Linked DNA regions of Notamacropus eugenii. The protein of the gene in region 1 interacts with the protein of each later gene in a pairwise test. Links are inferred from orthologs where the notes say so. Each region holds a gene or a part of one and is shown in the gene's direction. Other genes may lie near its edges.

Evidence for each region. The genes of interacting proteins can lie anywhere in the genome.
Region 2: the proteins of CTBP1 (region 1) and small nuclear ribonucleoprotein-associated protein N interact in a two-hybrid assay, tested with the Homo sapiens proteins (2 studies listed by BioGRID and IntAct). The link is inferred for Notamacropus eugenii from reciprocal best matches to the Homo sapiens genes CTBP1 and SNRPN.

What each region holds. Positions count from the first base shown.
Region 1 is NC_092877.1:48,808,495-48,815,772, reverse strand, and holds the start of CTBP1 (C-terminal-binding protein 1), read left to right. Parts: upstream 1-4,180; 5' UTR 4,181-4,223; exon of another isoform or gene 4,224-4,370; intron 4,371-7,278. Other genes in the region: E3 ubiquitin-protein transferase MAEA, read right to left, coding at 3,301-3,369. UniProt on the Homo sapiens protein: Corepressor targeting diverse transcription regulators such as GLIS2 or BCL6. Has dehydrogenase activity. Involved in controlling the equilibrium between tubular and stacked structures in the Golgi complex.
Region 2 is NC_092872.1:476,050,609-476,057,800, forward strand, and holds the start of small nuclear ribonucleoprotein-associated protein N, read left to right. Parts: upstream 1-4,180; 5' UTR 4,181-4,394; coding exon 4,395-4,397; intron 4,398-5,460; coding exon 5,461-5,612; intron 5,613-7,192.

The sequences.
Region 1 (7,278 bases):
CCTTTTGGGGAAACTAATTTCCTTTCTGTTTACTTTCCATTAAATTATGCCACAAAAAGAGGGAAGTTTTTTCTTCATGGCAATTTCTTTATTCAGTGACTCGAGTGTAGATAGTGCTCCTAAGCCAAAAACTGAGAAAAGCTATGATTTCAACCCCTTTTATTGTCAGTAAATAAAAACAGTCATCGAGAATCAAGAATTTAGCGTTCTTCCTCCCTTTCATATTTCTTCCTGGCTTATTTCAAATCTGTCACTATGTAAAGCCATAGCACACTCTTTTCTTTTTCTATGATAATCACCTATGATAATTTGGCCTAAAAGAGACACTAATCTTCCACATTTGCATCATTTCACCTACAGTTTGTGGAACACAGATGTGGTTCTATTTCTTATCTATCTTCTTCACAGATACTCAAATGTGTGTTATTTATTAGAATCCCATGAGTGTGCTATCTTTCCAATACTGACATTATGCAGATAATCCTCTAAATGATTTCCAAAAGGGTAGACAGAGTCACTGTAATTCATAAACACTCTCATTCGGTGGTGCTTATAACTAGCTTAATGGCTCACCAGGATTAAGGAGTGCAGCCTGCTCTTCTGGAAAGCAACAAAGTTGTGGCCTGCCAGGAACTGAATCCATTACTTCTGCTGATTGGTTAATTCAGAGCTGCAAGAGACTTTAGAGCACAGCTAGTTCAAACCTTTCATTTTACAGATGAGGAAATTGAGGCTCCAGTGAAAGAGCTTGCTCAAAGTCACACAGGTGGGAAGTAGAAGGGTGGGAATTTAGACCTAGATCCGATGACTCCAGATGTGTTCTTTTTTCTTCACTATGCTGATCTTCAAAACAAAAAGCCATTTAAATATATTTCTAATAGTTATCATGACCTTGAAATTTTAAGAGTTGGATCCAAAAGGTCTTGGATACTGCACTCTACTTATTAATGATCAAAGGTATGTTATATATGTGTGGTGCAAATATATTAAGAAATAAATTTGTTTCCTCTTATTAAGAGAAGTTAATGATAATGGTATGTACTGTAGGTGATTTATACAAGGTCACAGAGCTATTCATTGAATGGAGAGTGTCATACAACTTTAATTTGTGTTCAACTGATCTTGAATTCAAAGGAGAACCATTCTCTGTGTTACCCTGGGAGGATCATTTCCCTCTAAACTTAAGTTTCCCCATCTGTAAAATGAGGAGGTACACAAGATGGTCTTTAAAGTTCTTTTCAACTTTAAATCCCTTTCATCCAACAAATGTTTATTAAAGATTCACTAGTATAAGGCACCTCATTAGGTGTTGCATATACAAAAACGGAAAGAAAAATAGTCCCTGCCCTTAAGCAGTTGACAAGCCATTGGAAAAAAGTAGATACAATATGTACAAGTTTTCAAATACAGGGTACATACAAAGTAATGCAAAAATAATTTCAAGACATAAAAGGCACTAACAACTGAGCAAGTGTCATCACTTAGAAGAAACTGGGTATTCTAAAAGAAAGGTACGAAGAAGTGTGCATTCCAGATATAGGGGGACTACCAGTACAAAGGCACTAAAGTGGGAAATTAAATGCCATGAACAAAAAATCTTAAGTAATCACAGAACTATCTAAATATAGATATATTTATATACCTTATAGGTATCTATAAGACAGACTTTATGGGTCTAGTGATGGGCAGCATAATATAGAGAAGCTCATCACCAGAATGTCTGCGTGGTGATAGATTTCTGGTCACTAAAAGTCTTGAAGACTTTCTACTAAATCACAGAAGGGTTGCTATCAAAGGAGATGAAATTAGATGTCACTGAAATATGATTATCTGTGCGTGTGCCTTATCAAATCCTAAGAAACTGTAACATGAGAATAGGGACTGTCTTATCTACAATTTTTATCTCCTCCAGGACAGAGCATAGTGTCCTATACAGATAATATTCAATAAATGTTTCTTAAAGGAATGAATGATTTAAACAATGCTTCAACTGGAGGAGAATAAATGATCTTATGAGTGACAAGGAGCATACAGGATAGTCATGAAATCTGTAAAAGACGTCCCTCCCTCCCCCGTTTTAGGATTCTTTTTCCATTAGTTTACCCCAAGAATTCAGCTAGAACTCATCACCTTGTCATGTGATACTTACTTGGAAACAGCTGGGGCTCTAAACACAACCTCAACAGAACAATCTTCCCTTTACTTTCCAAGTGACTTCCTTCCCCACCTCCCACAAATCATTCTTAGCCAGTTGTGGTGTAACCTAAAATGTCCTACATTTGAAATCAGAACATTTGGTGAAAATTCCTTGGTCTAATTACAGTATAACCTTGGGTCTCTTCCTTTCTCCAAACCTCAGTTTTCTCCTTCGTAAAATGAGGGAGTTGGACGACCTCTAAGGCCCCTTCTAGGTCTAAACCCGACGATTTATTCTCCCTCAGGACTGGGTGAGGCAGCCAAGTACAGTGAGTGGAAGAAAGCAAGCTAAATTGGGGGTCAAAGGACCTGGATTCAAATCCCAGCCTAGTAATTTAATACCTGTGTGATAGCCATCTCCTTTCCCCATCTGTAAAATGAAAGAGTCGGACTGGATGACCTCTAAGGCTCCTTCCAAGATCGAAGTAAGAGCCACTACGCCTTGGGTTCAAATGCTGCTCAGTGGGTAACTCCCCTCCCCTCCCCGGACCTCAGTTTCCTTGTCTGCAAAAGGGAGGGGGCTGGGCTGGATGACCCCCGAGATGCGCGATCCTACACGTCTCTGGGCGGTGTTAGCCCCAGGAAGGCTCGGGATCCGCGGACGCTCGCTCCTCAGCCCCGTACTCCCCCCTACAAGGGCCTCTGGGTCATTATTTTAAGTAAAAAGACAGGGCATCCCGGAGGCAGGTGGGGGGCCGTCCAGATTCATTTCCTCCCCTGGTGCCCCTCACCCCATTAACCCTTCCCAGACGGGGCGGGGAAGCCCCCAGTGGTCCCCCTCCCCCTCTCCCCGCAATGACTGGGCGGTCACCCCCACCACATCACCCCACCCCAACCCCCCACCCTCCGCCCCAGCCAGGGCGCCATCCTCCCGGCCCCCCCCCTGGCTAGAGGGTCCCCGGCCCCGAGCCCGCGCTCGCCGTCCCCGCCCCAGCCCGGGCCGCCGGGGGCGTGGACAGACCCCGCGCCCTCCGCTCCAGTGGGGGAGGCGAGTCCCCACCCGCTCCGGGTGGCGCCGTGGTGTGGCCCCTGGCTAGCCAGTCTTCCTCCTGCAGGGGGGCGGCGGAGCGTTTTTTCCCCTTAGGCGGGTCCCTCGGCACCCACCTTGAGGGTTGGATACTCTTGCACCTTCAGGGTCATGGAAAGCTGAGCAGCTGATTCCTGCACCGCCATTTTGGATTGGCCAAAACATTACAGACCAAAGGGAGCCACCTCCGGGGCGCGGTGCATGACGGGTAACAGACAGCTCTCCTTTCCCTCCCACCTCGCCTCCACCCATTACCGGGAGGGAGCAGGCGTTTTAGCCAATCGCTTCCGCCCAACCGCCTGTGGTGGCGGAAGAACGCACAGCTCTGGGCAGGGATGCGTGAAAGGACGACGGGATAGTCCAATCAACTCCCTCCTTTCATGATTCTCTTCCAATCATAGGAAAGCGTAGGCTATGAAGACGTTTTTTACTGGACCGAAAAGAAAGGAGGAAGGCGTATTTCGTTTTTGAGACGCCAGGGCTACAGTGATGATTCCCAATTGGCCCGGGGTCGCCCAGGGGCCAATCAGGGACCTAGTTTCCTTCTGACTCTGACGTGATAGGCGGGGCCAGCCAGGTAGACTGATTGACGTTTCCATTTCCCACATATTTAATGGCTAGGGGCTGCGGTCAATGACAAATTTTATTCTAAACATGGAGACCCTGACGAAAGGTGCTTCTAGCTTCACAAACGAGTGTATAAAATTGCTTGGGCTACTGAAGACGCCCTCCGAGCCTTAGATGGTCATGGGGGCCAATCAGGGACGCCCCTATGCAGGACCACTTTTCGGGGTGGGAAACCAGGAACTTCTGGAATGTACTGGCAGGCTCTCGACCCAATAAGGAGAGAAAGCTCTCCTTGATTGACAGCTTCCTCAGCAAACCAAACGAGCGGACTATGGCGGAGGCGGGAGCAAGGGGGCACAGGGGTGGGTAGGGAGAGGGGGCGTGTCCGGAGGGGGTGGGGAGTTTGAGGAGTTTTGCGGTGTTCGGGGAGATAGTAAGTTGCTTGGGTGGGGGAGGGGCGAAGGGGGTGTGGAAGCTGGGTGGGGGTGTCGAGGAGGGGAGTGAATTGAACACACAGGAGGCAGCGACGCTGGTGGCGGGAACAGGGTTAACCCTGCTGAGACCCCCTCCTCAGAACCCAGTGAGTTCCCCTTCCCTTGCCCCTGCTCCTTTCCCTCCTCTGTGCCTCCCACGCGGGTGCGGGCAGCCGCCGAGGTGGGGGGAAAGGCAGAGCAGCCAGGACCCAGGAAGGGAGGCGGGCCTGGGATCTGGGCGCAGGAAGGTGGGAGGGTACGGGGGTGGGCAGGCCCCCCAGTCCCGGCTCCGGAGTGGGCGGCCCTACTGCCGAGACGTTCCTAATGTTCTAACCGCCCCAACCGCTGCTCGGCCCCGCCCCCAGCCCCCTCCCGCGCCGCGCGCTCCCGTTTTCTCTCCCACCCCCACCCCGGGCGCGCTCTGGGTCGGCGGAGCGAGCTGCTCTTGGGCTCCCTCCGCGTGCAGGAGAGGGGCGGAGGGATCTCTGCTCGGAGGCGGGCCGGGCCGTCTAGGAATGTCCTCGTGCACTCCCGGGGGTGGCCCGACAACTCTCGGAAAACTTCGGGGCCCAGCGGCTTCCTTCTCTGCGGCCGTCCAGCCCCTCCCCGTTCTTAATAAGAATGCGTCTCTGCCTCTCCCCGTCCCGGGAACCAGGCCGGCGGGTTTCCCAAGCGCTCGGCCGGGGCTGGGGCTCTCCCTTCCCCCGGCCCAGCTCCGGAGCCGCTGCTCCCGCTTCCCCCTCGGGGGCGCAGCCGGTGCGGGACGGGCCTCGGGGGGAGGGAGACCCCCCTCCGGAATCCAGAGGTGGCTTCCCCTCCCACCCCGCTCCGGGACTTGACCCGGGCTGGGGCTGCGCCGGCCGAGCCGGCTGCGGAGGCTTCTTCTCCCCTTCGCACTAAGGACGGGGGGCGGGGAGCGGCGACGGTGCGGTTAACCCCCCAACCTGCTCGCGTCTTGGAGGCGGCGGCCACCCCGCGTTGTCACTAAGCGCATTTCTTGATTCTCTTCGCCAAAATGTCTCTTTATGCCCTCTGAACTCCTGCCCTCCCCCGTCTGTCAAAACTCGAAGCTTCAGAAACCCTGTCTGATCGCCACTTCGTGCCCCCAGCGCCTCCAAAAACGTGTCCCCTTCATTTGGTGGAGACTATAAAAGGGATCCTTGGCCTCGTGGGAGCCCTTCGGGAAGGATTGTTGGAAGTCTGACCCGGCCAGGGAGGTTTTTCTGGTTCCCAACGGTCAGGTTTCTGTTACTTGAGAGACAGGATTTGTTCAGTATATGAATTATTATCCATGAGAACTGAAGGCAAGCCTTATCTTCCTGGCACTTTGTTTATGTTTGGCGCTAAGGATTTCATTGTGAACAATGCAATTTTGGGTGTTATGCGGTAAATAATAACTATGATATTGCTGATCCCGTCCCCCAATAAGGCAGTGTATACACAGTACAGGGCGCAAAGTTAATTTACTTTTAAACTGGAAGATTTGGTGGGAGAATGAGTAGCCAAAGTTTAAAGGGTTTACTTAATGGAACAGATGGCTGTGGCACTGGCATGTCAGAGAAAACAGCATGCATTCTTAGTTTAACACAAGAGGGAGCATGTCTAATCTTTAACCTTTAAGTATTGCAACTTCAGAGAGGCAGCTTTAATTGCTGAATGTCAACTGATTTACCCTTCTTGGTAGCATGTATAAATATTTATATAGTCTGTGCATTGTAAGCATGTCATCGGTTTAAGGTTACAATTGTTGGCTTGGAATGATTTCATGGAAAGCTTCTTAGCCTGAGTTTCTCATCTGAGGTTAGGAAGTCTGATTTCCTATTAAAACTAAGAGAAAAGGATTGAGCATTTTAAATTAATTTATAGATAAGATATTTGTTTAATGGTTGGTTCAAAATTTATCTTTTTGGGTAGTTGGCATCCAGTATGAAATGGTAAATTATTTTCTTTAATTTAGTGTTATGTTGTTAAACTGCTGCTGTATTGAAAATTAATTGGATTACAAAATAAAGAAAAGCAAGTTTTAAAGATGCCTTGAATTTCTTTCAGCTGATTTGTCACTTTTTATGAAAATGATCATCAACTTAATTGGGAACTTCATAAGCTATTGCTTTAAAACTTGAGAAGATACACATCTCATACATTTTTTTTTTTAAGTCTGCATATACTGCACAGAAGTTGTAGGTAATAGCATCTAGTGGGGTGGAAAGTGATCTGAAACTTAACGGAAACTTTTCTTGATTTATCAAGGGGTTTGGGAAAACGCATTCTACAAATAAGTTCTAGATTACAGATCTCATAGAATATTTTTTAAAATTTTCTATTAGGAATTAGAGCTTAAATCAAAAAGGAGTTAGTGAAAACCAGCAGACCCCACTTTGATGTTGAAGTGATAACTTTATACCACACTAAGGCTAATCGCCACATTGTAACTAAGACATGGAATAGTTAAGCTCTGGTCTGTTACTTCTGGGAACTTTGTACTGGAGAGACCATATAGCTTAAATTTTTTTTTTTTAACATTAAGGAATTAGTTTTATTTGGAGGTATAGTATAACTTTCCCTTTTGGGGGGGCAGTATTTTAAGTTTAAGTTTAAAGAGTAAAATACTGGGAACCCTTACTGTTTGGTTCTCTGCATATTAATCAGGCATCCAAAGTAAAGATTTTTCATCAAAAAAAAAAAAAGAATCAATTTACTCATAGCTTTTGGAGGTCTCAGTAGCAATACCAAGTTTTGTAGCATCAAAGACTAATCTAGTTCTTCGTTCCTAGAAAGATTGATGGAGTAGTGTGGGGAAAGAAGTTTATGACCTCTAATCTAACTGTTCTGCAGTTCTCTTGGACAAACTACTTAAGCATTCTATACTATAAACCATTGCCTCTTCTGTGCATTTGCTTTAAAGTTTAAAACAATTTTTATTCATGCAGTTTTGAACACTGATAACTCAGTTTCTAAAAGACCCTTACAAGTTTTCATTGTAAGTGAGCAGAAAGGATGGTAGAACTTAAATTT
Region 2 (7,192 bases), on another chromosome or scaffold:
TTTCAGGCCATGGTGAAGTCCTTAGAATCACAAGCAGTGCCAATCAATCAATCAATAAACATTTATTAAGCACCTATGTGCCAGGTACTGTGTTAAGATCTAGTAATATAAAAAAGGGGTAAAAATCAATCTCTACTATCAAGAAATTTACAAACTAATGGAAAAGCAAAGCATGGTCATCCTGGGCCATCTTTGAAGCAATGATCCCAGATGGCACTCATCAAGGGGAGAAGCAGGTCATGGGGCCTGCATGGTGGACAGATATTCTTGGCATAAGGTCCCAAAGTGGGCAATATTATCCTCTAGAGGGCACTGGAACGATGGGGGGGGGGGGTGTTTACAGGGGGTGGTAGTATCTTCCGGTGCAATTGGGGAGCATTGAAAAAAATAAGGGTTAATCTAACCTAATGGGGGGGGATGAGTAATTTTTTTTTTAAGTGAGTCATAGGCCAAATAGGTTTGGGAATCTCTGTGAGAAGACCCCAGGAAACCAGAGAACTTCCAAAGTGAGAAGACAAATGAGGCATAGAAGCAAAGTATATAATTAATTAAATAAATTCCTTTAATTAGCAAGTAGCACTTCATATTTCTGCACAACCACACTAGTTGTAAAAGACTTTTCTAAACTATTATATTCATAATTAGAGGTTAAACCACTGGTGAGCAATTTGGAACTATGCTACCAAAACTTCTCAACTTATTGACTCAATGATAACAAAATTTGGCCTATACCCCAAAGATCAAAAAGGACCTAAAAAAAACCCATAGTAGCTCTTTTTCTGGTGGCAAGGAACTTGATACTGAAGGAGTGGCCATTAACTGGGAATGGCAAAACAAATTATGGGTTGAATGTAGCAGAGTACTATTAAGAGTAAGAAATGCTAAAAAAGATGATTTCACAGAAATCTGGGAAGACTAGTATGAACTACTATTATTTAGTGAAGTGAACAGAACCAGAAGAACAAATTATGTAATGATAAAAAACATTGCAAAGATAAACTATTTTGAAAAGCTTAAGGACTCTGATCATGGAAGCAATTAGACATTTAAATACTTACTATGTGCTAGGAACTATACTAAGAGATTTACAGATATTATTTCATTTAATCCTTACAACAAGGGAGGTAGGTGTGGTTATCACCATTTTGAAGCTGGGGACACTGGGGCTGACGGAGGTTAAAAGATTTTCCTGAGATCATACAACTAATAAATATGGAAGTCTAGATTGGAACTGAGGTGTCTCCTGACTCCAATCCACGATTCCACCTAGCTGCCTCAATATTTGATTATCACAGTGATAACCATGATCACAATTCCAAAGTATTGTGACATCTGCTGTCATATGGGAAGTTTCAGGGGCAAGTCAGATGGAAAGGTCCCATGGTCCTTAGGGTGTAACAGCAAAGCAAATTATAATGCCTCTTCTTTCATGGAATTTCCATTGATAAAATCTTATCTGTTTCTGATGTTGAACCATTTGATATTGCCAAGGACTTTGGTAGCAAGGACTTTTCTTTCTGGGTCTTTAGTATTTGTGTCTAGGCTACATAGAGGTTGTTTCCCAGGCTATGGGCAATGACTTGGAAACACTGCTAGTTGCAAAGCTCTTGGACTCAGGATTCTGGGCTGTCTATGTCAAGGTCTGAAGGGAGACATAGATTAAGGTGGCAGTGGTAGTTTGACTTGTTTGGCGTATTCTACCTCCTGTCTCTCCCTTGGGGTGCTAGGTTGGCTCACTTTATCTATGGGGAGAGAAGGAGTCACAGGAGCTTTGAGGAGGGCTGAAAAGGTTTGGAAAAGCTGCTGTGGGATAGTGAATAAATTAAAAAGATATAAAATCATAAAATGTCAAAATGTCAAAAAACGAGATTTGTTTGTTGCAGTGAGGGCCCGGTTGGATTTTGATGGTCTTAAGTCTCAACCTCCTAGGAAAGTATAACAGCAGTTATAGATCCCAAATATTACTTTAAATCTTTCTGTCAATGTAAGCTTGTGAGTCTTGTGTATGTTAAGCATTTCTTTCATACAGAGGAAAAAAATACCTATTTATCCCTGATTTATACTGTACATTGGGTACCTTTCTATTTACTCTACACTTTGGAAGACATGAGCCAAACCTAAGATATATATAATTTTCCCTGGAGTGCCAATGTGGGGACCTAAGGAGTGAAAGAATGAGAAAAGAAAAGTTCAGCCTTTCTTTTAGTTGGTTAGGCTTGCTCAGGATTGAAAATGGGCTGCATAAGCCTGGGTCTAGAACTTAGAGGAGAGGAAGGTGAAGTGCTCCAGTTCGTCTTGGGACTTGAAGCACCGCAAATTGTTAGACATGATTTTCCTAAAAACAGCTTGCAGATTTACAACTTTTATAACAAGCATTAAACTGCTTTCTTGTGCCTTTACGTCCAATGCAAGGATTATATCTTATTTCTTTTGGGTGCTTTGGCACATATATGATTTCTGACAAATACTTGATTAGTCATTCAGTTAAACATTTCTTAAACATTAAGTCAAGCCCCTGGGCTAGGCAATGTGGAAAGAAGGACAAAAATAAGAGTCTCTGCCCTCCAGGAGCTTATATTCTTTACCATACATAGATAAGTAAATGCAATTACATTGAGGAGAGAGTACTGACAACTGGGGACATAAGGGAAGGTTTCACAGAGGAGATGGCAACTGAGCTGAGCCTAAAGTAGGTAGGAATTTGAGAGGGCACCCATGTAGAAGGGATACCTTCATAGATATAATGGGAGGCACTCATGGAGATAGTACATTTCAGTGTTTGGGGACCACTTGTTCATATGGAGCCCTAGGCCAGAGATAGAATGTTTAGTTCAGAGAACACTTAGCAGTCCTGTCTGTCAATCACAAAAAAATGTGTGAAGGAAGAATATAGTGAAACAAAGTTAGGAAGGTTGGTATCAAACTACATCCAAAGAGCTATAGAACTGTGCATACCCTTTGACCCAGAAATATCACTACTAAGTTTGTATCCCAAAGAGCTCAAAGAAAAAAGAAAAAGGACATATCTATATCTATGTATCTATATCTACATGTATATCTATATCCACATACACACAGATATTTATGGCAGCTATTTTAGTGGTGGTGAAGAAATTGGAAATTGATGGTTGCCCATCAATTGGGGAATGAATGCGTAAGTTGAGGTATATGATTGTGATGGAATCCTATTGTGGTAGAAGAAATGAAGAGGAGAAAGCCTTCAGAAAAACCTGGGAAGATTTACATGAACTGGTACAAAGTGAAGCTAGCAGAACTGGAAGAAAATTATACACACAATACTATAACAGCAATACTATATGCTGTTTGACTATGAATGACTTGGCCATTCCAATGAACTCAAAGATCCAAAACAATTCTGAAGGACTTATGATGAAAAATGATATTGACCTCCAGAGGGAGAACTGATGAAATTTGAATACAGATGGAAGCATAATTTTTTAAAACATTTTATGGGTTTTTTTGCTTTTTTTGAAAAGTAGCTTAAAAGGAAATATGTTTCACATTATTTAATATGTGTAATTGCTATCACATAATCTGGCTTCTCAGTGGTTGGGAAAGGGGCAGGAGAGACCTTATTCAGAATTTAAAATTTTAAAAATGTTAAAACTAAATATTAATTTTTAAAAATAGACTATTTTTTAAAGATTGGGGCTCAGATTAAGAGGGGCCTTAAATGAAAAGTTGAGGAGTCTCTATTAAACATTAGGGGGGATAAGAGAATATTGCAGATTTGGGAGTCAGGGAAGAGACAGGCTCAGAACTGTGCCTTGAGATGATTGTGGCAGCTCTGTGAAAGATAATAGTGATAATCAAGGAAACCTTTCCTGATTCCCTTTTATTTGTAGTGCCGTCCCTCTGAGATTCTCTCCAATTTATCCCGTATATAGATTTCTGGCAACCACATAGACTTGGAGGCATCTTCACAATAGAGTGACAGTTCCAAAATCAATATCACCCAGCAATAAACATTTATTAAGTGCTTCCTATGGGTAAGGCACTGCTCTAAGAGTTGGTGATACAAAAAACAAGAAAAAGGAACGAGAGAGTTCCCTTCTTCGGTCCTTCGTAGACAGGGGGCTGGCCGCTGCTGGAGAGCTCCCACAAGAGCTCTCCACTTCGGGAAGCCTCTAGTTCTGGAACGTTCCCAAGAAGCCTTTCTGCTCTGGGGAAAGGGCGCCTGCCCTCACCCAATATGGCGGCTGAGGGAAACAAGGTCGGTCACGTGTCCTCCCCGTTCCAAGGGCTATAGTCTTTTTCGAATTTCCGTTACAGCCGGAAGCTAGGGGGCGGGCACTTTCCTCTGGAGCTCCTCGTGTTTGCGGCCGCCGAAGGGGGCTCCTTTTTCTAAGTCGGGGCACTTCGTAGCCGGCATCATGGTAAGCTTGGGATCTCTGGAAAAACTAGGCCTGGGCTGGGACACAGGCCTGGACGAGTCGGGGACGGGGCCGGGGATCGCGGGGATGGTGAGGACGCTGCCGAAGGCGGGGCCGAGCGACCGGAGGGGTCAGAGGTCAGGGTCCTGCCGGCGGCGGGGGGTGGGTTGGCCGGTTTTCCGTGGTTGAAGTGGCCGAGGTGAAGTCAGACCACACAGATTTATGAAGTCCTTATTCTGTGCTCCGTCTGGCGCTAAACGCTGGAGGTACAAAGAAAGGCAGAAGACGGACCCTGCTCCGCAGGAGCTCACCGTGTGATGGGGGAGACCATAAGCGAGCCGCCGTGTGCGTGCGAGCTCTGTGCAGGCTAAGTGGGAGGTGATCACCGGGGAAGGACTAGCGCTGAGGTCCTTGCAGAAGGGACTTGAAGAAAGCCAGGAAAACTAAAAAAAGATCAGGAGGGAATGAAGGAAGGGCCAGCGAAAATGCCCAGAACAGGGAAATGGGGCGTCTTGTTGAGAAATGGCCAGGGGCGGGGGGGGGGGGCTTAAGGTGAAGAATTTTAAAAGTCTGAGGGCTTTTTATTTGATCCTGGAGGTAACAAGGAACCCCTGGAGTTTACTGGGGGAGGGGCATGCGGGGAGTGGTCAGACCCGCCCTTTAGGAGGCTGACCCGCCAGAAGGCAGCTGGGGGTCAGAGGAGAGAAGGTGGTATAAACCAGAGATGTGGGATACTACTAAGGGGGTCTGAGGTTTGGGGGAGGGTGTGGGGAGGATGACAAGATCATAGAACTGGGTCAGAGATGATGGATCCATTCCTAGGGATTAAGAGCCCAGAGTGTGTTTGTGTGGTGTCAGAATCATATAATTGGGGGAGGTGTAGGCTAGGATGTTTGGGAAAAGATAAAGGGTCAAGACCTCACAGTGGAGAGGAAGCACTGCGGATCTTGGTTCAGAAGAGAAGAGAGAGAGCTGATGGAAAAGGAACAGGGGTAGAAAGAGCGCCTGGCAGTGTTTAGTCAGTCCAGGGTCTGGAGTCAATACTTTTCTCTCTCTGTTTCCACAGACGGTGGGCAAGAGCAGCAAGATGCTGCAGCACATCGACTACAGGATGAGGTGCATCCTGCAGGATGGCCGCATTTTCATCGGCACCTTCAAGGCCTTTGACAAGCACATGAACCTGATCCTGTGTGACTGTGACGAGTTCAGGAAGATCAAGTGAGGAGGGGGATGGTTTGGGAAGCTTGGGATGTGAAGAGGGGAGGGCAGGTAAAGTAGGCTTCTTATACTTACATTCATAAAACTCTTCTCTGTTCTAGTCCTGAACACCATCCCTCTCCCACCCACTGCACTCCAACCTTAGTGGATTTTGAGGAAACATTTATGCCCAGACATATTGTACACTTAGATGTGTACCAGCACACATCACCTGGAAATGATAAAAGGAAGCACAATACAGTGGGAAGAGCTTTGGTCTTGGGATAGATGATAGCTAAATAAAGTATTTATTAAGTTCTTAATATACCAGGTACTGTGCAAGGGAGTCAGGAAATCTAGGTGCTAGATTTCTGCAGGCATATAGCTCTGAGCACCTAGCTCTGTATAAACTGCAACTTTTTGTAGGCATTTATTTCTAGGCCAAGTTTCCCTGTCTATAAAATGAGGACAATAGAGTAAATCAGGCCTTCACAACCTTCAGCCCTTGGGACAGAGCCCATGGGCAACTTGAGGCATGCCAAAGGATTTCCTCTACATACAACAGTTGTTTTTCTCTACGTTTTTCACCGGCTGCTGGAAATCCTTTGTCAGACCAAAGGTTATGCAGGCCTGGACTAGATGATCTTTAAAGTCCTTTCTGACATTAACATTCACAATCCTTCCCCTCATAGAATTTGATCTAGTAATTCTAATGTTCCATCCATGTTCTTTTTTCATTGTTCTAACTCAGGCCCTCTTTGGTTCTGTGGTTCCTAGGAAGTGTGTGTTTTGGAGAGAATACTTAGTTATCTAGAAAGGGGCCCTTCTACTTATTATTTGTTAAACCCGTAGTTTCTGAGTTCCAGATCTTTATTCCCAGCAAACAATGACATTGAATGAAATATGTTCATGTCTTTCTTTTAATATATATTGTTTGATTTTTTTCATTAAGTTCATTTCCAAATATGGTCATTCACCCTTCCGTTCCTCCAGGAACCTTCGTTTGTTACAAAGTATAAAAAGAAACGGGAAAAAAATGTCAGTTCAGCAAAATTACCCAAAGCATAATGAGTTGTTCTTATTTAGTGAGTGAAATGCTTTGAGGTAAATTTACTTCAACTTAGCAAACATTTATGAAGCCTCAGTACTATAAGATCAACAAAAATAGCATCTTATATAATATATATATTTTTCTGTGAGCTTCTCGGTCAGAGGGCTGTGATTCTATGAGGTCATCTTGGGGTGAAGGCTTCTTACACTATAAGGCTTTTAAAGGGGGAGTTGATTTTCACATTTAATAAACGTTAACTGTGTTCTCTGTGTAAGTCACTGTGCTTTGAATTCCAACAAATATAATGATGAATAAAGACTTGGATCCTGTCCCCAGGGAGCTTATAGCCCAATAGGCGGAATGTCAGTTATTCAAACATCTATAATACAATATTTAGAATGTAATTTATGCTAAAAGAGGTATGGAGTACAATTTGAGTGTTTATTAAGATCCTTGTTATCTGAAGTTCTGCTCTGACTCTATATAACGCTGGATTTTAAATTATATCTACTGGTGACTGGCTATGTGACCTTAGACTAGGTCCTTTCAG